3 linked regions of the Oreochromis niloticus genome follow. The main gene of each other region encodes a partner of the protein of the gene in region 2 in a complex. Links are inferred from orthologs where the notes say so. Each region holds a gene or a part of one and is shown on either strand. Other genes may lie near its edges. The genes, in order: mta3, chd5 and mta1.

What was found.
Region 1: chd5 (region 2) and mta3 share a complex: the UniProt entries of both Homo sapiens proteins name them as parts of the nucleosome remodeling and deacetylase (NuRD) repressor complex. The link is inferred for Oreochromis niloticus from reciprocal best matches to the Homo sapiens genes CHD5 and MTA3.
Region 3: chd5 (region 2) and mta1 share a complex: the UniProt entries of both Homo sapiens proteins name them as parts of the nucleosome remodeling and deacetylase (NuRD) repressor complex. The link is inferred for Oreochromis niloticus from reciprocal best matches to the Homo sapiens genes CHD5 and MTA1.

Annotation. Positions count from the first base shown.
Region 1 is NC_031973.2:10,587,893-10,595,870, forward strand, and holds the start of mta3 (metastasis-associated protein MTA3), read right to left. Parts: upstream 5,172-7,978; 5' UTR 5,054-5,171; intron 5,048-5,053; exon of another isoform or gene 4,876-5,047; 5' UTR 4,847-4,875; coding exon 4,819-4,846; intron 2,934-4,818; coding exon 2,866-2,933; intron 1,836-2,865; coding exon 1,742-1,835; intron 1-1,741. Other genes in the region: kcng3 (potassium voltage-gated channel subfamily G member 3), read left to right, coding at 6,736-7,352. UniProt on the Homo sapiens protein: Acts as a component of the histone deacetylase NuRD complex which participates in the remodeling of chromatin.
Region 2 is NC_031970.2:11,661,345-11,669,322, forward strand, and holds the start of chd5 (chromodomain-helicase-DNA-binding protein 5), read right to left. Parts: upstream 5,092-7,978; 5' UTR 4,439-5,091; coding exon 4,372-4,438; intron 1-4,371. Other genes in the region: rpl22 (large ribosomal subunit protein eL22), read right to left, coding at 5,699-5,840, 7,946-7,978. UniProt on the Homo sapiens protein: ATP-dependent chromatin-remodeling factor that binds DNA through histones and regulates gene transcription. May specifically recognize and bind trimethylated 'Lys-27' (H3K27me3) and non-methylated 'Lys-4' of histone H3.
Region 3 is NC_031983.2:19,121,469-19,129,446, forward strand, and holds the start of mta1 (metastasis-associated protein MTA1), read right to left. Parts: upstream 4,568-7,978; 5' UTR 4,549-4,567; intron 3,923-4,548; 5' UTR 3,832-3,922; coding exon 3,804-3,831; intron 1-3,803. UniProt on the Homo sapiens protein: Transcriptional coregulator which can act as both a transcriptional corepressor and coactivator. Acts as a component of the histone deacetylase NuRD complex which participates in the remodeling of chromatin.

The sequences.
Region 1 (7,978 bases), on a different chromosome or scaffold from region 2:
CTTTTTGTTCTCGCTTTATGTTTATAAAGTCTACCTCAATCAGGATAACTGGTTTTTACCAGCAGTTCGATGACACATACACAGCGAACAGTATTTTTCCAGTCAGTGCTGAATGACGTGAATGCAGTAAACATGTTGTTCACTGGGTCTCCTGCTGCTCTTCATTGCAATCACCCACATCTAAACTGGAAATCTGCTTTGGTGGAAAGCATGTTTTTAACTTTGAGAAACTAACTATTAATGTGTTTTATTCTGGCCAATAGCCTTCTGGAATCAGGTACTCTCATTCCCACACTGAATAGGTGTTGCTGTGATGACACTTTCTTTTCCTTTTCACTTCACACATCCACACTCAAATTCTGTAAAATGCAGTAACAAGCAATTGAGAAATTACTGTGAAATACAAACATGAATCCTCCCAAGTTGCGCTGGAGTACAAATTTAAGTTTCAACTTCTCCCTCTCTGGCATTAAAAGCATCTTATTTTTAGGTAAATGCGCAATTTACAAAGTTGCCAAGAGGAGTCACCAATGGCGATGTCATTCTGAATGACCGAAAGCTTAATTACACGTCTCTCGTTTAAAGTCTTTCAAAAATTTTGATAATTATTAAGTCATCCTGATATCATCTGTCATGTCGAAATTAAAGAATTTGCCATCTCAGTGATTAGCAATGACTCCTCAAAACAAGAAGGTTCTGGGTTCAAATCAAGACTCAGGCCCTTTTCTGTGGTGCTTTCTTGTCCTTTCCCAGTACTCCAGCCTCCTCCCACCATCTAAAACCATGCGTGGGCTGGGTTGATTGGTAATACTAAACTGGCCCCAAGTGTGAATGGTTTCCTGTCTCTCTGTGTCAGCCCTGTGACAGACTGATGACCAATCCAGTCCAGGGTCTGCCTCTCAGCCTATGACAGCTGGAATCAGCTCCAGCCACTTGTGATCTTAAACTGTATAAGTGAAAGAAAATGGATGGATGTATGGATGGATTAATCTTCACCACTGTTTACACTTCTGCCAGATAACTGACTAGTCTAAAGTATCACAACTCTCTTTAAAGGAAAAAATACAATTTTTAATTCCTATAGACAGGTGACACATTCAAAACTGCTTGATTTGTCCAACCAGCTAAGACAGTCACTCTAAGTTTGGCAAAACAGAAAGAACCCATCCATCCATTTTCTTCTGCTTTTTTAGTTGATGGTCACAGTTGAGCTGGAGCCATCCCCACTGCCATAAAGCAAAAGGTGAGGTACACCCAGGACAGGTCGCCAGTCTGTCACCGGGCCAACACAGAGAGACAGAAACCATTCACACTTACCCAAAAGGTTTATTCTGTTCATCTGAACGTAGCATTTTCAGTGGGAGAAATGTTTCGTCACTAATCCAAGTGACTTCTTCAGTCTCCAACTTTTTTGGTTTTCCTTACCTGGATGACTGAGCATCCATCAAGACATTTACACTTACACTTACACTTACATTTTGACATACAGGCAGTTTAGACTCACAAATTAGCCTAACCCCACTAATTGCATGCCTTTGGGCTGTGGAAGGAAGCCGGAGTACCCGTAGAGAATATGCAAACTCCACATAGAACCAGATGATGAATTAGAACACAAAATGAACCCTCTAAATACAATAGTTTAATATGCATTAATGCAAAAACAATCTAAAGAAACTCTACTGTTTTACACAGATGTTTGAAGGGAATTATTCACATATGATGCGTCACAACTGCTACTCACTTGCATGTTTATCTGCGAGCTGGATGAGGCTGTGAGAGATGTCTCTCCTTCTGTAGAAACAAACTACCTTGGCCTCCACGTTCCCACTGGCAGTCTAAAAGAGAGGAGGAGAGACATCCAGGTTGACTCAAATAAGTGGCAACACGTACCTGTACAACCCTGTAATTTCCCAAGAGACCTGGCTCCTTTGTGTACCTATCAAGCTGTGCTCAAACTCAGCCAGTATTAAATGTCGTGACTGATGACTAGATGTGGGGGTAAAAGGTTTGAAGAAGAAGAAAAAGAAACAACTTATACTCCCCACCTACCTGCTTCCAAGTTTGTGCGCAAAAGCAAATGTATCTAAATAAAAAGGGATCTGGAGAAAATAACAGGAACGACGACATGCATATTGATGCACTAGCAAAAGCCACAAAAATGTCCATCGTGCTTGATCAAGCACTCCATTTCACCTTTACCAACATGATGAGCTTCATACAGCTTGTATTTGCAGAAGCACAGCTTTATTAAATGGTATCATGCTGCAGGGACTTCCTGTTACTTCATCATTTATGATAATTACGATGTCTCCTGTCTTTAGATTATAACATTGAGCCTCAGTACGCTCTTTCAGGATGATAATGATGTGATCTGGCATTATTCCACCCACACAATCTGATAATGACCTGCATTTATCAGAATATCTCAGTGCAAGCATGACACAGGAAAAGCTTTTACACACCTATTAACGATGCTTGTGAAGGATTTCGAACAAAATAAAATGGGAATTACGGTAAAATGCTGAGAGAAAAAAAGAGAGACCAACAACACTGCTGTTGAAGGTTGGTATCAGCTTATAATTAAAATAAATCTGCATCTTTAGCCCAAAGCTACATGAGCTTGTGAAATGTTGATAATAATCACTCCACCCACACACACACACACACACACACAGGTGTGTCAAGTCATACTAATGACAGTTGGTAGATCAGGGAACACCTGTCTTTTCAAGCCATATTACAAACAACGTCACAAAATCCACACAAACAATGGGAAAGCGATGGGGTGGGGACAGGAGCAGAGAGGAATTCAAGGAATTCTCTAACATAACCACACATGAAAATGAAAAACGCACACATCAGTACCTTATTGAGTTCTTCTATCCGACGGATCAGGTAAGGGTTACTGGAGGAGTTCTCAAAGAATACGTAATCTGCAACAGGAAACACGCACATCTTATATTTAAATATATACACCGCATGAACTAATACATTGGCACTACAGTAGGTCAAATCAATAGATATGCATATCCTTTAATCAATAAATGTGGAAACTTGTGACTTTCAGAAAGTGTTGCACAAGAAAAGTTAAAAGGAAAAATCTCTAGTCAACAACAACCAAGTTATAGACGAATAAAAGTGCAAAATTATTATAGTCTTTCAAACTGTAGCCATATGTTACCATACTGTTTCAGTTTGTATGAAAAAATAAATTAAAGACAATAAAAACTTCAATATAGCATTTTCTAAAAGAAAGATTCCCCATGCATATAAATAACATCACCAGATGCCAGTATAGCTTTCTGGGTTTGAGCAGATGACCTATATGCCGTAAGGCTAATGCAGAAGCACTGGTTTGAATCCCCCTGTCTCTCCTCCAGCTTATGCGTCTTCTCGACACTGCAAGGTTCCAACAAATGGGACAAATAAAATAAATGTAACAATATCCCTATTTTTTTTTTTTTTAAATTAGAAGCTTGCCCACCAACTTTGCACAACTTCAGTCCATGGCAAATGCTGCATTCACACAGAGTCTGTAATATTTCAATTCACATGTTCCAGACTTTTAAACGGTGCAGCAGCATATTTGTCAGGGTTGTCAAAATATATATGACTTCATGCATGTCATTAGAGTCTATGTATCATCATGCTAATGTGTATGACAGCCCTTAGCCTCTGGGACGGGAATGTGCTGCACCTCAGTCTTGCAATGCTGTTATAAAATAAATATATCAATTTTTAAGAAAATAAATTAATAAACTACATATCCCATCTATTTTGTTTGCAATGTAGCAGCAAAACAAGACTTGTTCCATCGCGGGAGAAAACTGTACTTGAATGCACCTGGAAGTTTGTGTGTCCTACCTACAAGTTCATGGAGTTTACAATGAGCACCTGAAAGCGGCAGGAGAAGTTGCACTAAAGGTGACGTGAGGGGACAATAAACTGATGCACCTCGAAAATACCGGTTATAAAGTGTTGCAAGACATGTCATTAGACGCCTATAGTTTGTGTGGCATGTCAAGCATTAATGCAATTAGGCTACGTGGCCGTCTGTGTATGGATTTAAAGCTCAAGTATGCGTGAATAAAGGTGTAAAAGCAGACACAGCGACGCCATGCGCGGAGACAATAATTTGATGTTGAATTCCAGTAGACTGCTAACGAGCTAGCTAGCAAATCAGCCAGCCTGCATCCCTATTTGATAATTAATTGCACTTGTGGTTACTGTAGGTGGTCACTTTGGCAAAACACTTTAGCACCTGATGTTACCGAGACGGTTAAATACGATCCTTAAATGCAGCAAACGAGCGCTGAGACGGCATTAATGGTAATCAGTGAAGCCATCGCTGGTGCTAACGTTAGCTAAATAAGGTCTCGTACTAATGGCTGCATGCCAGGAGTGGCAAATACAAAGGCAGCCTCAGACTGCCCGTGGTAGCATGTTAACAACCTTTGAAACACACGTCTAGTCGTGAGGTCTATCCGTGTAGAAGCCCCCTGTATCCCGTGGTCTAAGAATTCAGAAACCCGGAGAGCAGCAAACAAGTGAAAAATGTTTACATTGCCAGCTAACCATTTAGCAAGCTGTCTGCTAGCTGCTGTGGCCACGACAGACGCGAGGCCTGACCCATTTTGAATCTCAAATATACACCAACTCTCACCTTCCTGCTTCAACTTAACGCGTCCACGTTGCTGTACCACATCCGCATCTCCACCATTAAATGCAAACGGCTCAAAATACCACAAAATAACGCCCAGGAGCTGCAAAACTGTAACGGTTTCTCTTTGATAAAAAGATCCACATTGACATACATACCTCCGACCCGGTACATGTTGGCCGCCATTTCTGCCCTCCCAGTGTGCAAACCATAAACTAAGAGAAATGGAATAAATTAATAAAAACAATAAAAGTCACTCTCTTTGAAGGGAAAAGGAGCGACAAATTAAGATCGTCGGAACTCCGGATGTGTAACCTATCGGGAGAATTGTGGCAATTCAACCCCCCCCTCCTCCTTCGAGTCACAGCACCCTTTATGATACAGTTAACTCACGGCAGCCAAAAGAAGTCGGATCAACCCGAAAAACCACTGCTGACGCTGGAGGGGCCCGCGCACGCGCAGCACAGCCACACGCGGCCCACACGCGCAGACACTTACAGCCCACCTCAGAAAACACCCAAGAAAGCAGTTTGTACATTTTTTTTTTTTTTTAATTTTTATATCTGTAAAGCCAAAAGTTTAAACTTTAATCTAATCATTGAAACTGAGTCTCTCTAAAATTCCTAACAAATCAGAAAGGGCTCTAAAACTTAAGAGGAACATGAAGAAGTCTCAGTGTTATTATTATTATTATTATCATTATTATTATCATTATTATTATTTTCTTTTATGCATCGTTACATGATCCACCTTGACCAGAGAGGACAGAAGGCGTCATTTCTAATTCTAATAACTTTAAAGTAAGAGAAGCAAGGCTTAGATAGCTTGGAGGGATATACTGTGATATATTAGGAAAAGGATGTTAAAGATGTACCTGGCAGGCAGTAGTAAAAGAAAAAGAGTTCAGAGAAGATTTATGGCTGTAGTGAAGAAAGATATGCAGAGGGTTGGTGTAATAGTGACATAGTGAGATGATGGCAGATAATGCTGTGGCGATATCCGAAAGAAGAAGAAGATTCAGTATATGATTATGTTTTGTATACTTGATGTAGACATCCATCCATCCATCCATCCATCCATCCATCCATCCCCTTTCGCTTATCCTTATCAGGCAGGCAGAGGCAGGGTACACCCTGGTTCGTCAGTCTGTCGCACGGCTAACACATTGATGTAGATATTTTTTTTATATATATTTTGCTATCAAATGAGCTGGTATAGAATATTTGCATTGCTAAGTTAAAATAATTACTATGTTCTTTATGTTTGTTCGAAACAAATAGATAAATAAATAAAGCTGCACAAAAAATAAAAATAATACTAAAAAAGCTTTATTTATATAATGATAATACTAACAATAATAACATTAATAAATTATACGTGTGTGCATATATTTCTCTTGCTATTTATTTTTTTTTCCATTATACTTATCTTAACATAATGTACCTTTTGTTGCACAAGTCAGAGCTGGTGTATATAGGTATCTCTATCTAGCTTAATTAAATGATATAAAATGGTCTACATTTTAATAATGGTGCGGGCATATTAATCACAAGCTTCACATCTATTTTTTGTCAGTGTAACAGGGAATATTACAGTGAGACGTAATTAAGCTTTCTTAAACAAGACTTTTCCTCCCCGGTTTTCATCAAGTTTGACGATAATTTCTCATCAACCTGCTTCCAGAAGAATCTAAACAGTATTTTATAGGAAGAAGCAGTCTCCACTGTGGACTTAAATCACATATTACGTTCTATACTCCTGTTGCTTATGGATTTTTCTCTGCGTGCGTCCGCGCGCGCGCGCTTGTGACATCACTGATGGGATTGGCTGGAGCTGACTGGGGGGATGAGTCTCTTCTTCAGGCTACAGAGGGAGACGGAGAATAGAGTCAGGGACAGAGGGAAGAGTTTCCACTTAGCAGGCACGGACCTCAGCGCAGGGCCACCTTCACTCAAAGCGAACCACGCCCCGGGGCAGGGGAGACGAGTTCCCCAAGTGCCCAAACTCCTGCGATGGAAGGAAAAATGGACTGTGAAGAGGAGTTCTCTTAGGCTTTGAGGATTTAAGTTGTCAAAATGAAGTTCGGGAAGAGCATCTGCGTGCTTAACGTCGGGGGAACCCGGTACGCCTTCACCCGTGAGGTGATCAGGGATTTCCCTCTTCGACGCGTCAGCCGCCTGATTGCCTGCGCAACCGAGAAAGAGGTCCTCGAACTCTGCGATGACTACGATCGGGACCGGAATGAGTTTTTCTTCGACCGCCACGCTCAGGCTTTCGTGTTTATTATGTTGTACGTGCGCTCCGGCAAACTCCGATTTGTTCCCGGAGTGTGTGAGCTGTCCTTCTACACAGAGATGCTCTACTGGGGACTGGAGAGCGCGCACTTGGACTCCTGCTGCCAGAAACGCCTGGACGATAGGATGTCCGACATCGGACTGGACACACTCTCTGAGGGGGACATCGAGGATGAGCCCCAGAGCCCAGGGGAGTCAGTGCAAGAGGCTGAGCTCACATGTCGCGCTAGGTGGCTCGAGAAAATGCGCAAGGCTTTTGAGGAGCCCAACTCTTCCCTTGTAGCGCAGCTTTTGGCTTCAGTGTCCGTGATCTTTGTTATCGTTTCTATGATTATGCTGTGCGCTAGCACCCTGCCGGATTGGGATACAGCCAAGAGAACTACTGTGGAGGAGCACAGGTAGGCGATAGTCAAGGGTCAGTTAACTTGAAGGAATAGAAGCCCCCTCATGAAAATGCTGCCAAATGTTTAGGCGCAATGTGTGCGGATATCCTACAACTGAGACTGTCTTGCGTAAAAGTGAACTGAACAGATGGAATCGTGTCAAATATTTGATTCTGTCATCACAAGTAGCATAAATAAATAAATATACCTCTTAACATTTGATCATGCATGCGTTCAAGGCAACGGCCAAAGTCATTGCGCACTAATATTAATCAGGAGGTGGATGCATTGAGATGTTTTCTACCTCAGCTTTTTGAGTGTTTTCTAGGATGTTTGCTATAATAACATAAAAATAAGAATGACAGCAAAGCAAGATATTTAAAACATCCATGTATTACATTGGCTGCTGGGGATTTGTTCTTGTGCTTTCTTGAATTGATGCCCCTGAAGTCAGTATGCCCGCTGACAAGTTTCAGGCAGCACATTACACCTTAGCCGGACACATTACACCTGTGCCGGACAGGCCCCCAAGGAAGCAAATCAATAACCAATCCATAGCTTTCCCCTCTTATTTCTCCCACCCTCTTCACAGTTAGTCTGAATATGTTTACTGCCCTGCTTAGTTTACACTGCATTGCGCA
Region 2 (7,978 bases):
TGTTAGCTTGCTGATGTTTCTTTAAAAGACGTGCTGATAACAGATCCTCAGAGAGTCAAATAAAATATTGAACACATGGGTTCTCAGTAATCATTTTTTGTTACACAGGAATGTGTCACAGCAATGCAGCTCCCTGAAACAGCTCTGTGTTTATCACCTGAATTGCCTTAAAATCTGAACCCTGACTAAAGTAAATGGCCTGTGAAGTCCCCGTGGGGAAAGCCATCAGGGGAGAGATATTCTTTCTGCTTGGTGACTGGACCAGGCAGTGCCAGGTGTTGGAAGTAGGGGAGGGTGCTCAGTCATGTGACACACCGAGGTCTGGCAACAGATTGTGTTAGGAAGACGACCAAAGCTCCAGTTGGCAAACAAGCCTTCTGTAAAATGTGGACGGATGGCACAGACACAGTTCTGACCTTCCTGCAAGGGCTTGGCCACCAGACTGACCCATTAGAAGGGAGATTCATGAACGAGTCCCAAGTGAGGAAGATAGAGTTTACTGGAAAGCACATTAGTCATTTCTCTGTTGGCCCCTGTGTGGAAATACCCACTTAATGCTGCCCAGCATTGCTTCCCACAATGCAGGGAAGACGAGGCCAAAGGGTTTCCTTTCTTCATCGATTAGGTACTTATGGCTCGGGCTTTAAATGCCTTCAGACAAAAGCATCCGTAGGCTATTATTAGAAAATGTTATCATCTAAGTGATGGAAGGATAAAGCCCAAATAGCATCATTAAATTGTAGTATATCTATTCTAAGGTCATAGCACATCCCATATAAACAGATAGGAAACAGATAAGAAATGATGTACCACTCATTTGCAAAAACATATTTAAAAGCATGTTTTTTTATGCTTAGGCTACATACACACGCATTAAGAAAAAAAACTGTGTCAACTTTCACAGTGAGGGATCCAAAAATAGCCCCTTTTCCAACTGGGGATAACATTTGTAGGCACACAAAAGCCCATGATAATCTTTCAATTTTATGGAAGAACAAAGCAATTAAAACAGAAAACACAATGGAACAATCTGTGACAGTGTAAGTGCCCAGAGTGAAACAAAGGGACTTAGGACGCTACATGGCACAACAAATAAAGACTGTGATAGGATAGCATTTTGGGGTCTGAAGTCCACACACAATGTGCTCCCACACTGTTGTGTTTTAATTGCACTGAAGTGTCTTCATGGTAGAAAACTCTGACCTGGATTTCTGACCTTGTCTATCACTTTGAAGCCTGCTGATGAGGTCATAAACTGTCTGGAAAGTGCTTCGTATATCAGCAGCATAACAATTGATCCGCAGCATTTTGTTGTGATGAGTGAGTGATATGACAAATTAAAGGAAAGTTATTCCAATAAAACAGTCATATTTTCAGACTAGGAAGAATGACTCCCTTTTGTGAACAATTTCATGATGACAAAACCAATATGGACCACTGTGTCGGAGTTTCACTAGATTTACCCTCAAGTAGGTACATTGTGCGTCATCACAGAGGATCACACTGGTATTTATTATATTACACGAAATTTTTTTGAAGCCAGAAACACATGACTACAAAAATCCCATCAAAGCATATTTAAGCAATTTAAACACATTCTTCATTTTTTAGACTTAATTAATACTGATATATATTCACTCACCTGCCATATTCAGCTGCAGCCTTCTTTTCTTATACATGTTTAACAAACTAATGCGTTACTGAGGACACACATCAGTGCCTGTATTCTGCCTCTAAATATGGATGGCAGTCACAGATGTTGCTCTAACTCCCCCTCTGACTCTCCGTTCTCTTTGTCTGCCTCGTTTTTCACTTGCTTACTGCTAAGATGCACATAAACGCACAGAAAAACTAGCAAGTACAAATTACCCTTGTCAAAAAATATGTATATAAACAAAAGAAATGTGTGTTTAATGCAAAGGATTTCCTCAAATAAGGCAGATATCACAATACTCAGACCTCGTGTTAAACGCAGAGGTAATTTTTGAATATTGTGGCATGAATGACCTTTTTCTGTCTAAGAAATGGTAACCAGTGGTACCCTTGAATTTAGTAATTGTATGCATTCTACCTCATTTTTTGTGACAGCACTTCAAAGCCTCAGATGTTCAAGAGCTTTATAACACACATGCGAAATGAGCAAGGATTGTAATTTGGCAACTCAGTACTGTGACAACTGCTCACAATTAAACCACCGAAGTAGTGTCCCAGTAAATGGCTTTTCGTCACTCTGTAACGAGCAATACCTAATACCAATGCAACAGACACACCAGCAAGATATTTAATAAATAAAACGTCTTGTGCCTTCTTTCACATGTATTCTATATTCCGCATCACTGCATTATTTGAGCAACACTTAAGACGAGGAGGGCCTGCTGCTGGAGAAAACATTGCATTGGATTTTAGAAGCTTCATTTCATGCTGAATCTACACTGACCGGCCAATAAAAAGCAGTCACACACTCACATATTTCATTTGAGCACCTTGAGCTTTGATCATGGCCAGCATTCATCAAGGCATCATTTCAATAAGCTTATGCAATGTCACAACACCTATTTCCACCTAGAGCTGTGTTACTTTCATGCCTTGTATTGGCGATGGGCTTGACAGTCTGCTAAAATCTTCTCTAGCAAATCCCAAAGATTCTTAGAGGGGTTAAAGTCTGTACTCTGCGGTGGCCAGTCCCTGTTGGAAAATGATGTCTCGTGCTCATTGAATCGCTCTTTCAGTTTTAACCCAATGAATCCTGGTACTGTCATCCAGGAAAATGTCTTTGTTATCAGGGAAGAACACAAACCACTGATGGAAAAACCTGGTCATTCAGTATATTGAGGGAGTCAGCTGACCTCATTTTTGGGGGGTGATTTGACTTCACTGAAACTAGCTCTCTGATCCAAAGCAGGGCTCTTACTTTCCGACCTTTCTGACTTTTGTTTTTGGCTTTGGAGTGTATTTTACAACCACAAACATTTTCCACATGGTAATGTGAAAGTGAAGCAGAGGGCAAAGCAGGATCTTTTAAATCTTGCCCTTGACATCAACCATCTGATGTTTGGAGCAAGCTATAAGAACTTTAAAATAAAAGGAACTTCAATGGCTGCACGGGACAATCTTATGTCTGGATTCAGCTCAGCAGGCTGCAACAAGAGGGCACTTCATCACCTGAGCTGCTGCATCACTAGATCAAGAAACCAATCATTAGCAGTTCAGAACTGGGTTTGTGTTACGCAGATGAAGATTCTGATGCCTGCTCCTTGGTGTACATTATGGACCACACAGTTAGCAATTTGAGTAAATGTCACAAGTAAGCACAGCCATGCCTGCCAAAAAAACTAAGACTGGGATTCCCCTGTGCCCTAGGATTGACACCTGCCAGAAAACCTAACAAACTTACCAGCCAAAAGAAAACAAAATGGCCAAAATTTGGCAAGTATCTTCTTGTGCATGGTCATTAATTAGGGAATCTTAAAACCCCCTGTGACTTGATTTGATCTTGACCATTTTTTTAAAAAAAAGGGAGGAAACTGTAAGAGCACTGAAAGCTGGTTCACTGCCAGAGTTGATGACATGTTCATTTTTCAGCCTGGAGAATGTTATTGCACAGGTTCTCTTGTATGAAGTTGCCATGTGAAATGAATTAGCAGCACGCAGAGAATGTGGGTTAGAGTTAATTCCAGTTCGCGCACGACCCAGAGCTGAAGGGCTGCCGGTGACCTAACCGGTGTCATCAGCGCGCAAGGCAAAGGAGCACACTTGATAAGCTCTGTTTACTGTAGCCCACACGTGGCTTTCACACCTCTGCGGCCATGCAGTGGGAGAAAAAAGAATTAAAGTTGAAACAGCTTCCTAATCACGAGCGCTAACGGCAGCGCATCATCCACAAAATGAACACGCACATTGTCACCGGAGCCCCCCTTCTTTTTTTCCACAAAAGAGCACATCCACGAGCTAAAAAGGGACAGAAAATCGCCAATGCACACACTGACACGGAAACGAGCAAAGTACGGGTTTTTTTTAACAGCTCTCTGAACAAAACTTGTGTTTGGACTCAAAGCCATTCACTTGTACACGCATGCAGCCTGTGAAAGAAAAGGCAGCCCACAGAAACCATGCAGCAGCGTTTCCATCGTGCCCCCAAATCAGGATGAATGTGAGGACAGCTGTGGGGGGAGAGATTAAAAAAAAAACCTACAACCCTTTGCCACCTTTAAGACTGTAGGTCGTCCAAAAAAATAATAGCATGACTCTGCTTATTGCACCCCACCCCTCCTCTCCGGTCTCAGGAACGCAGGACAAGCCCTTTTCCCCGCATTCAAGGCGTAGCGGCGCAAAATTATCTGAAGGACACCCCGCCTCTCCCCTTTCCCTCACCTGGTATATCGTCTTCAAAATCCATGTCGTCTTGTCCCTCGTCTTCATTGCTCAGCGACCCCGGCATCTTTATCTCATAGCCCCCAAACCCCTTTTAGGCTGGGAATACTGAAAGTTAACCCTCCAGACGCCGCAGCACAGTCTCTTTCTTCACCCAAAAAGAATAGTATTCGTCGCTGTGAAAAATGTAAGATTTTTTTTTTATTTCTGTGCAACGAACATGGGGCTTTCTCTCCAAGAGTAAAATAAAAAAAATAATTTTTTAAAAAATATATATATTTTCCAATGATCTCTATCCAGGTCTTCCAGTCTGAAAAATAAGAAAGACAAAAATGGAACACACATGCCCAGATTGTGACGTCTGGTCTGTTGCCATGACGATGCATCCCATAATTTCACCCACAACTAGTTAGTCATACTCTCCTAGTTACCACTTCAACTAGTAGCGTGCAAAAAAATGCACATCGTGCGCCGTGTGCTGCTAATAGACGGATGCACTCCCCGCGCCTGTCCATTTCCTTTTGGAAGTCCGGAGAATTGAGACAGAAACTTCTCCCACTTTCTCGCACAGCTGCTGCTCTATTCACTCACAAGCTCCACTTCAAAGTGTGTCTGCAGGTGGAAACACAGCACTGCTTTCTATTTTGAAGCCAAACCGTTTGTGTATACGGACGCTTTGGTTGATTTAGACGTCAATTAAGGCATAAAACCCCCAACTAACAACCACCTGACTCGATTTCATCTTGCAAGCGTCCACACTGTCCTGACAAAACACACACAAGTGCAGGCTGATGACTGCAAGCTGTGAGGAGTCCTGACTGCCAGTGGTCTAACTGTTGTCAAGGTTACCACAGCTGTATCACAGGATGCCCCACAGAGAGCTGAGCAGAGGAAGTATCAGCTTCAGCGTCACTTTATCTTTTATCAAAATATACAAATGAAAGGCTGAGAGTCCCAGCTCATCCCACATGCTGCAGGACTTTAGGGGGGGATGGGGGGCAATCACACAATGCAAATAAACCTTTTTATAACCAGATGACAAAAAAAAAAAACACCATCCCACATCAGAATAAAGAACCAGAAAACATTCCTAAATCTAAAAATTACAGATTTATATGCAATTAAAGTTGTCATCATGCATCTAAATATCGAGGATTATTTTTGAAAAACGCTAAATGAAATCAGAGTGTACAGTCACATGTTCATATCTCTGTTTTTATCGTCTGTGTGGGATCCAGATAACATAATCAAACCAAATGTTTCCAAATAAAACACAAGACCATCAAGGGTTTTCTCTCGAAGTATTTTATTAAGAGTGGCGTAAGGTTTAATCTTCGTCCTCTTCCTCCTCATCCTGGTTGATCTGGAAGTAGCGCAGCTCATAGCTCTCCTTGGTGTTAGCTACCACCCGCAGCCAGTCCCTGAGGTTGTTCTTTTTCAGATACTTCTTGGTAAGATACTTCAAGTACCTGAAAATGGAAGCAGAGAGCAGAAAGAGTGTGAGTCAATCTGCCCTTAAATTTCACAATTTATGTACCGAAAAGCAGCAAAATCCTGCTGTTTTTCTAGATTTATATTAAGGTGTAGAAATCGTTAAACACGACGTACAACAGTTAAAACTCTCAGTAGCCCAGATGCACAAAAAACAGCTCTGTGTGGTTTTTGCCATAAACGTGACCAGCAGAAAAGTGGGGATCACAAAATGAATTTGCTTTAGCATCAGCTCTAACCTAGGAGATCTCCACTGGTTATATCAAATGCTTCATTTAAGACTGAGAGTGCCACAGTCCCCCTCTGGTGGTGGTGTTTAAAATTTACTGAACAATTACAGTATGAAGTGGACATAAAGGTTGTTAGGGAAAGTTCCAGAAATGCACACAGGCCCACATAACCCAACATTTAAAACATGTGGATTAGCTGGGCATATGTATGTTTTGCAACTTTGCTACAGCCAATTTTAAAAAGGAGTTCAAGTACTTTAATGATCAGATGTATAATACATATACCATTATTATATCTAGGTTATTATATAGTTAATACTGTTTATTGTCCAAATAGAACATTAGAATCATTATTAAGTGGTGGCTACAGCCTAATAAATATATATAACGAGATAACAAGATAACCATTTTGGCTGTGCCACTCTAATCAGTTACATTAAGCACTACACTTCACAATAACATCTGTGTTTCGAAGGTGCTTGAGGCAACTGTTGTTGTAATTTGGCGCTATATAAATAAATCTGAATCGAAATTCAAATAGATCTCACTTTTAGATATTAGTTTTGGTTTTTTAAAATATTCACAAAACTTCAGACAAATCCACAATTAATACAATAATTCTGAAACTCATTGTGTTTAGACTGTTTCATGTGTTCACAGAAGAACCTTTAAGCAGCAGGCATGTTTCTTCAGAACTGACTGCCAGAGGACGAGACCTCCACAGTAGGCACATGTCACCAGAATCGATACTTATGGTACCTTTCAATACCAACATTCTAAATACACGGTATTTGTATTTTCTTAGTACTGTAGGTACTGTAGACACAGAATGTACACATTATGGTCAAAAAATAAATATTCTACTTTGCTTTCTGTACCTGACACACAACGACACCTTAGTGTGTACTGACCTTACAAAATTTATGCTACAACCTACCTCTTTTTTTGTTAAATCAACCAACAGGAATGCAACACGAAATTAGGCACTGATCAATGACAATTTCACACACAAAAGAAAAAGGTGGCAGTAAAATTTGTGAAAAAGGTAATGAATTCAAGCATAGAAGAAAATACTGTGCAGTTGGGGCAGCATGAGTACACATTAAGATGACACACCATAGGAAGAGACCATAGTTGTGTGTCATAGCCTACAATTCAGTCAGTTTTTATTGTTATGTCTACACACATCAAACTTGATGTTATGCCCATATTAGGATGCAGCAGGACCTTGTTGCACGATGTGGCAAGCAATGATGAACTTATCTGATCCCTAAAAATCTTTTGTTTTTTAAGCATTTTTATGAGATTTCTTGGCTTCTCACATAAGGTAGATACTCTCTAGTGGTGTATCTGTCCAGAGTATTTATTGCCACACTTGTGTGAAACCAGCTCATGTAATACTGGATAAATGTACTTGCGCTGCAACTGGAAAAAACATCAGATCACAAGCTCTCAAATAAGTGGGAAACCACAAAGACAGCATGATCAGTCAGAAGACACATTCAGGCTGAGTATCAGTAAAATTTTGCAACCACTGTGTAAGTGACAACCAAACACAGCCATATTTGTTTGGAGTCTTCTCATGTTTGCTCATTAAGTCTATTACAATATTACTGTGGCTGAAATGTCAAATGCGTTTCATTTCCCTCAAAATTATATTCAACAGGATTCTGCATACTTCTCTATTCCACACAAACAACAGAGATTTTCTTTAAACTTAACATTTGTCTTTTTAGGCCTTGTAGCAAGCACTGTGCAAAGCATTTACTGAGGGTTGCTGGTATAATGGCAAATGACTATGACCAGTCAAATAATACAATATGACATAGTTGCACTGTTTTTCTTTTATTTACCTCTTTGAGAAGGGAACTTCAGAGTTCACAGCA
Region 3 (7,978 bases), on a different chromosome or scaffold from region 2:
AAATTCAAAAAGTGCTCCAGCTTCAAACTCATCTCTAGAGAATACAATGTCTACACGTAGTACAGCATACTTTAGTCATATTTCTTTTCTTTTTTTTCCTCAAGGGCTGGGCTAGAGCTAGAAAGGGAGCTGGAGAGGCAGCAGAGGAAGAGCATGAACATCTGCCCACGTAAGTCCAAGCAAACACACCCCCTCCACAGCTCACACCCCATCCGATGCTTACTCATGCAGTCACACGGAGAGGTGTGTCTGTTGTCAGAAGCGGCAACCGCAGACGAGATTACAGACTGCCATAGTATGGATGAAGATTTCTATGGTAATAGAAGCTAATTTAATATCCTAAAGTCAAACTCGCACCTCATTTTCACACTTTGATATCACTCACAATCACTTAAGGTATGATCAGCTGTATGCACAGATGCATACACCTCTGTACAGTCTATACAATCTACCTGGCCTGCTAGTATCTGCTAGGATTCCTGGCAAAAGCAGGAAATAGACAAAAATATGTCTTTCATATCCCGTCCCGCTCACTTTTCTGACATATTATAATACACCGAGGAATAAAAAATGTTTAAAAAGCAGTTTCGCATAAAGTCAGCAGTGGTGTTAAGGCTGAGATGGATTTGATCTTATAATAATTAGATCACAACTCCCATGACACCTTGCAATCATACTGCAGCAGGCACTGCAGCTTGCACTTAACAAACGCGATAAATCAGCAAATTTTTCCACTCTTTTCTCAAACATTCATTCTAGTGAAGTTTAGACAACCAGACCTTTAAGCCCATAGGCAACACTAGGAAGCTAGCAAACAGCGGTTATTGTGATGGGCATTCGGGCAGTTTGACCCCCCTCAGAAACACAATGATGGGGATACTTTGCTGAATGGATGTAAAAAGGTTGTCATGCATCTGTCCAACTAGTTGTCCTGAACTTGGCAGGATTGAAGCAAAGAAGCCTCAGCTCGCCACTCAGCGAGTACACCCACCAGACCCTGCAAGAGACACAACTGCCAGCGTGGGAGATTAACACCAGCCATGAGCCAAACAAAGTGTGGGCACTGTCAAAGTTTGTAATTTAGTCAGTTTGTAGATTAGTAAACAGTGCAACACCTTCAGGCACATTCTGAATAATTACTGTAGAAAATCCTCACCATCCAAAGGAAATGTGGGCATTAACACCCAAGTTTCTCACTTTTTAAGTTAGTAAACAATGCAACACATTTTGCAAACTCTGTGCAAGAGCTGTCACAATCCAAACATTCCAATGCAAGTTCTTATTTAAAGGATGGATCCTGTATTTTCCAATTATTTCTTTAAATAACACCCCTACCCATATGACAACCGAAGAAGTGTTTGCATCCTGTAATCATTCCTCGTGATCATAACATCCTCGGATATGGCCTCATACTGCAGTTCCGATGCAGGTGATGGGGGAATAAAACCCACAATCCTCATTCTAGGTAGAAATATATTTTGACCAGAGCAACACAGTTTGAGAAAATACAAACAGGGCATCTTTTACTATATTTTGGAACATCTCTATCACAGTAGGTCCACATTCAGAAGCCTGTTGTAGAAATTCATTTTAAAGGAAACAAACAGGGGATCACCTGGCCAAAAACTGAACCTGGCTTAACACCAACCAGCAACTTCCTGTAATATTAACTACAAAATCAAAGCTCCACAGTTTTAAAAGCCTGTCCTCTTTTTCAATGGTAGGTCTGAGTACCCACTAGCAAAAATTGTAGTAAACTTTCTATACGTCTTGACAACCAAATTTAGAACATCTCAGGAAAGAATTGTTTTCACTTGGGGAAAACAAGTCGTCAGCAAGTCTTAGAGGCTTTTTAAAATTTCACTGCATTCATAAAAACGTCTTCCAACCGCTGAAATGGTTAAAAGTTATCGTATAGCCTACACTTAGTCACCAACACTTTCCTGCACATGAGGGAAAGCACTAGGAAGAAGTGCTGCAGGCACCGGAAGAGTGGCTTGTGGCCTGGATGGTGAAAACAAAGACATCAAGACCTTTTGTCTTTTGTCCACTGCTCATTCAAGGGGACTCATTGCTTTTCCAAGATGATCCTGCATTGTCTTGCAAAGAAGCAGCCATCTTTGTGTGGGCTTCTGCTTTGTTCTGGTGTTGGCCTGGAGAAGCTTCAGTCAATTATGAGGCCTATTTTTAGGCCAAACTAGAACTGTGATTTTATTTTTTTAAACTAGAACTGTGATTGTAGGACAAATTAAGACTATGCTTATTAAATTATGTTTTGTAGTTTTAAATTAAATTATGAAGGTTGAGCTTACTTGTTACTTTTTCACTTTTCCAAAAAAGTAATCAACTTTGCTTTGATGACTGAGCATTAAATGTTTAATCCATTCTGATTGATTAGATCTCACAAATTAGTCAAACTACACAACCTTAAAGCTGCAAGGTAGATATGAAATAAATAAAACAACCTTTTTTACTGCAAATTAGTGTGCTACAAACAAGACATACATGCTTAACTGGTTGGTATGTCAGTGTAAGAGACTGACAGCGTAAACAGAAATACAAAACTAAGTAACATCTGGCTGGTAAAGTGTTAACTTTTTACCCTGCTCCAACATAATCCAGCTCTCACTCAGGTAGGCTTTGTTTCATTTGACTAAATAACAATGCCATTAACTTAAGCATAGGCTATTTTTGATGCATGCTCCAAGCCAACTGCAATCACATCAGTCATATTTCAAAAGACATCAGTTCTTAATAATCTTAAAAATATAATCAGTTTGCTTTCCCTCCCTTTTCTACTGACAAATGGCCACAGAGTCCAAAAAGACACTAAAAGTGGATGAATAAAGAAAGAATAAAGAAACTGTCCTGCAAATGCTTACGACTGCCATCTGCATTACAGCCCTCATATCAAACCTCTGTGTGGTGACACTTTTTGACAGCTAAATTTGAAGTTTTTTGAAGACACATCTAAAAAGGTCTCCATTCTTTTATGCATCTCCACTGCAAACCCCCTCAAAAAACAGCACATTCTATTTAAAATACAGTGCAGCTATAGTGGTTTTCGTGTTTTCATTTTCACACAGTACCTACGGGATGTAAATCAGGGGAACATATGCAGGGAAAAAATGAGTGGGAGGGGAAATCAGGAATTTTAATTAGGTATTAAGTTGAATTGCCTGCACAAAAGAAGCGAAGAGACACTGGTTATAAATGTGTAAAACGGATCTCTACGCATGCTTTGAGAATTTTAGTGGTTCCTGCATGTAAAGTGTTGTCTTTAACTTTTTGTCCCACTCCTTCCCTGCATTTTAAGAGCATGCACTCCTTGCTGCTGTCTTGTGAGCATTGAGAGGTTTCTGCAGGACACTTAAAGCACTTACGATGTTACTTATGGCTGTGAGCGTACAGTCCGGGCTGTAGCTGAATGGCACGCAAAACTTTTAGAATATATCCGCTACTTTACATCAAAATATATAGAAGCGCAATGCATGTTACTCAGAGTGCATCGTTGCACTAAAGTACTTGTTTGCTAAGTTGGAAGAAAAACGCAAAAAGAAGCGAGGAAATCCGGGGAGCAGTTTTGTAAAGAGAACCACTACTCTTCATCACCATCCTCCTCTTCACAGTCACCATCATCATCATCTGTGAAGCACAAGGCTCTTTAGCTTTAGGGAAATAAAAGAAGGGAAGCAAAAGACGGACCACGCGCTGTAAATACATAAAAGAACCGACGTTAATCATGGCGAGTCCGCCATAAAAAATTACGGGAAGGTCTTAAAATACTGCCCCCTCCACCTTACCTCCAACCCGGTACATGTTCGCTGCCATGACTGCCCCCGGTCCCTGGCTTCCTCTCCAGGTAGAGGGGTGGCTCTCTTCTCTCTCGCGCTGCCGGAGCTGTGTTAGCACTGCCGCCGCTCTGTGTTGGAAAATGGTGGATTGATCAATACGAAAGAGACTGGCTGGCTGCCTTAAAGAGACAGTACGCCTTTTTTCTTTTAACCCACAACTTTGGCGCTGGTAAATGGGAATAAGCACTGTAACAAATTAACGATTTAATTAAACAACTTTCTTTAACTTAATATAAAATTTAAAAAATAAATAAATAAATATTTGCCTTTTTAAACTGTACCTACGTCACTATTAGCAACCAAGCACGCGCTGTCCGAAAGGAACCGTTATCCTATTAACTTTGCTACTCGGTTAACCTTACATAAGTAGTTCATTTATCTTTTACTTGCCAATTTAGATTATAAACGAAAGGGTAAATTTCTTGAAAATAGACCTGTCTTTATTGTTAAGACATGAAACTTGGATACTAGCTTAAAGTTTTTATTTATTTATGATAATTATACAGCTCTCCAATCAACTAATCGACACGTATCGCGATAATTTACGGTGGAAAGCAAGTCTTTAAGTAAGAGCTCGATGTAAAAAAAACTTCCAGGGCCTACCAGGCCTACTTCGGACTGTATAAACTCCCACATTGGATGACTCATGAAATGTGGACAGGTTCCAGAGCTGGTTTTAAAATAAGCCATTTACCTGGAACTGTATAGCTGTGTAAAAATGCATCAGCCCTAAAAATAAACCAGTGCTGTGATCCTAAATCCCTCAATGCTCACAGTGTCAGTGAGGGTCAGAGGTCAGTGGACCAGCAGGGGAGGGATACATGGGCTTAAATGTAAAAATAACAAAGTATGTTAAATTTAATTCATGTACATTAGAAAGACACAGGGTCAGACACATTTGTCCTTAAATACCTAATTTTATTAACAAAAGAAAGGAAGACATATGCAAATTCTTCCAATCTGATAAGGTGTATTAAAGTTAGGATCGTATACTACAATGGTGGTTTATTTATAAGATAGCATAGCTCATTTTTGTCTCACTGTATAGGACTACATTATAACCACAGCACGCAGTGAAGGCAGAAACATGCAATGAATTATGGTATGATAATATGAGATATATTCTGGATTCTGGAAATACTATGGAGATTTAGGATTATTAAGCTTATTACAATGACATGGTTAGTCCACAGTACAACTCTATGTGCATGTGGGTAAGAGAACAAGATAATAATCTGCCATTAAAATAGGATGTTGGTTCTGCAACATGGACTAGCAGCAGTGTTTCTGTTCTTATCAGTAGTGTGTGTGTGAGTGTGTTTATATTATTCTTTCAATCTTACCACAAACAAACCATATAGTACCATATCACCTTGGACATGGCACAATAAATTGCCAATCAAACCACAGAATGCTTAAAAAAACTCACATGAGCATAGCTTTTTTTTTACATGGCAACCAGTCTTTAATGGAAAGGTATCTACAAGGCGTGATCCTGAATGACCAGATATTTGTTTGATTGGCTCACTTTTTTGTGGATAGCATAAGGCCTCTGTGACAGAGGAATGCGTGGTGAAGGCTACGTCTGATCTATACCATATGGAAGCGTCAAATACTGTGACCTAACACAGGGGACCACAGTCTGCAGTCACATGACTGTTATAGGCCAATCATGTGTGCTTATAGTATGCACTCCTACTCAAGTGTGCAGTAGGAACTGTGCTGCATTGGAGGGATTCTGTATTATGTCCCGGGGCTCTTTTATGAAAAGGAACGAGAGACAAGGAGTGTGCACTTTGTGTGTTTTTTGTGCATGTGTGTGTTTATGTATGGGTGTGTACAAGGATTTACGTCTACACTATGTCATTCAAATTTAATTACATTGAATTTGCGATGTTTTTCAATGCCAGTGCATGGTACACTGCACAGTATTTTGATTTGTAGTATAGTTGCATGCTCACTGATGAAAGACCATCACTATACTGTACATTTATTTTTAAGTATGCACTGCTGTGTGCAACAAACAGTGCATTTCTGCATAAATGCTTATTTTTGTGCATATTATATTGCTATCTTGTGGAATATTTCAAGTGTAAAGCATAATCCAGCATATCCCTGTACATTATGTGTTATTTGTTAAGCATATGGAGACACACGTGAGAAGTCTTTTGAGCTGTTGTAATTTTCCCCAATAGGCTCAAAAGAAAACATTGCCAGTGCTTAATATGCTCTTAATTAAAGGAAAATAGGTGGTTGACAATGCACCCTTGTATTTGGGAACTGTTACCACTTTCATTAGGGCTGTTTGTTTACTTGGCTGCTTGATGCTGTGCAGATGTTCTTTTTTTTAATACACTTGCTCCTCTGCCAGATGTTGCTGCATTCGGGAAGACAAGCATGCAGGCAGAGCTCTGTACAGAGCAGTGCAGTGCAGGTGTTCATCCTGATGAATCTCAGTCTGTGGAGATGGATTGGCTCGGGACGCAGAGCGTCTGCAGAACCTCCTTTCGCTTTGGAAGAAGACCTCTGATGGCCTCTCTTTCTCTCTTCCTACTTCTCTTCCTCCCTCATCCTCTTTCTTTCCTCTGCTCCTCCATGCAGCAGATGAATCACGGGAGAGTCAAAGACACAGAGGAAATCAATTAGACCTCTATCCTTGCAGAAACTATTTGAAATATTTTTAATTCTCTTTCTGGAACCTATACTTGGATCAAGAGACACTATGGGTGGTGCAGGAATAAAGGGAATAATGTTAGGGCTCTCGCTCTTCCACACCTGACTTTGTATGGGTGTATTCCTTATTAAAAGTGAATTACCTATACTTTGGAACAGTCTGTAACTCTGCTCTCTAGAGGATGCTTGAATATATTCCCTTCTCAGAAGGTTAGTGCCAGTGACCTTCTGCTGTGAGTCATGCTATAGCTATAAGACACATGTATAAGTATATAAAGCAGGATAAATATTACCGATAATAATGCAGTGAGCTACTGTACAATATCATAGATGCCTAGATTCTTGTATGGAGACTGCTCTGTACATCCATCTAAAACACATTCACCACCACTGCTGTTGATATTAAAGACAATATTCATTTTTTTTAATTTTTTAGTCTATGAAGCCATGTTCTCAGTCCTCTGAGAGCTGTGGGAGGAGACAGCACTGACTTATTGCGAGTAAAAGAAAACACTTAAAATAGGAGTTTGTATTTATTTTCAGTCACCATTAGGGGGAGCTATTGTCTAGCTTTTTATAAAAATGACCACTTAAGACAAAGGCTTGCCTGCCTTAAAACCATGCACACTCAGACATAATGTTATCCATTATCTTTAGCTCATACTAAACATAAAATTGAGCTCTGAAACCATTCATTAACAATGCCTGATCTTTCCAATACTCACTGAAAAAAAAATGCTCCAAGTTGCACTAAACATAGTCTGCCAGCAGGGGACATCATGCGCACAGCTATTTCTATTGTCCCCATTTGCTCCCTGAAAAGCAGTCATGCTGTGGGAAGAAAAAAGAACCGCGATGTGGCCATCGCTAACGGCGAAAACGACACTTAAGTGAGTTGTGATTTTTGAGTTGATGCCAGCTATTTGCATCTAAAGCTGCAACACAGAGCTGTAGATCAGAAGTATAATATTATCAAATGTTGCCATTAAATCAATATTAGCTATTGTGCCTTTTCTGAGTGTGGGTGTTTCTATCGGAAGACATAACTCAGTCTGTCATCTGTCACACAGCTTTGAATGAAACACTCAGCCTCCCAAGAATGCTTTGCCCTAATCCAGAGGGATTAAGAATATTGCAGTTGTGGGTTATTGATACTGACCCTTACGAATAGGGTGTTACTGTGAGACTGTCTCACACATGGAAATATGTGGCACTCCAAAAGTTATCCCCTTGCATATTCTGAACCCCACCTTGCAAGACAATCCCGTCACTGAGTGTACACCCTTAACCACAGGACCATTTGCCAAAATGCCAGAAGCTGCCAGACAAGTGCAACTGCTTTTTCCTTTTTTTCTGTGAGAAACAGCTGGTTGAACTGCTAAAAATGTCTCAATCTTCAGAGAGGCTCTGGCATTTGGTGACTGTGCCATGTGGGGAAAAACCCACAACAG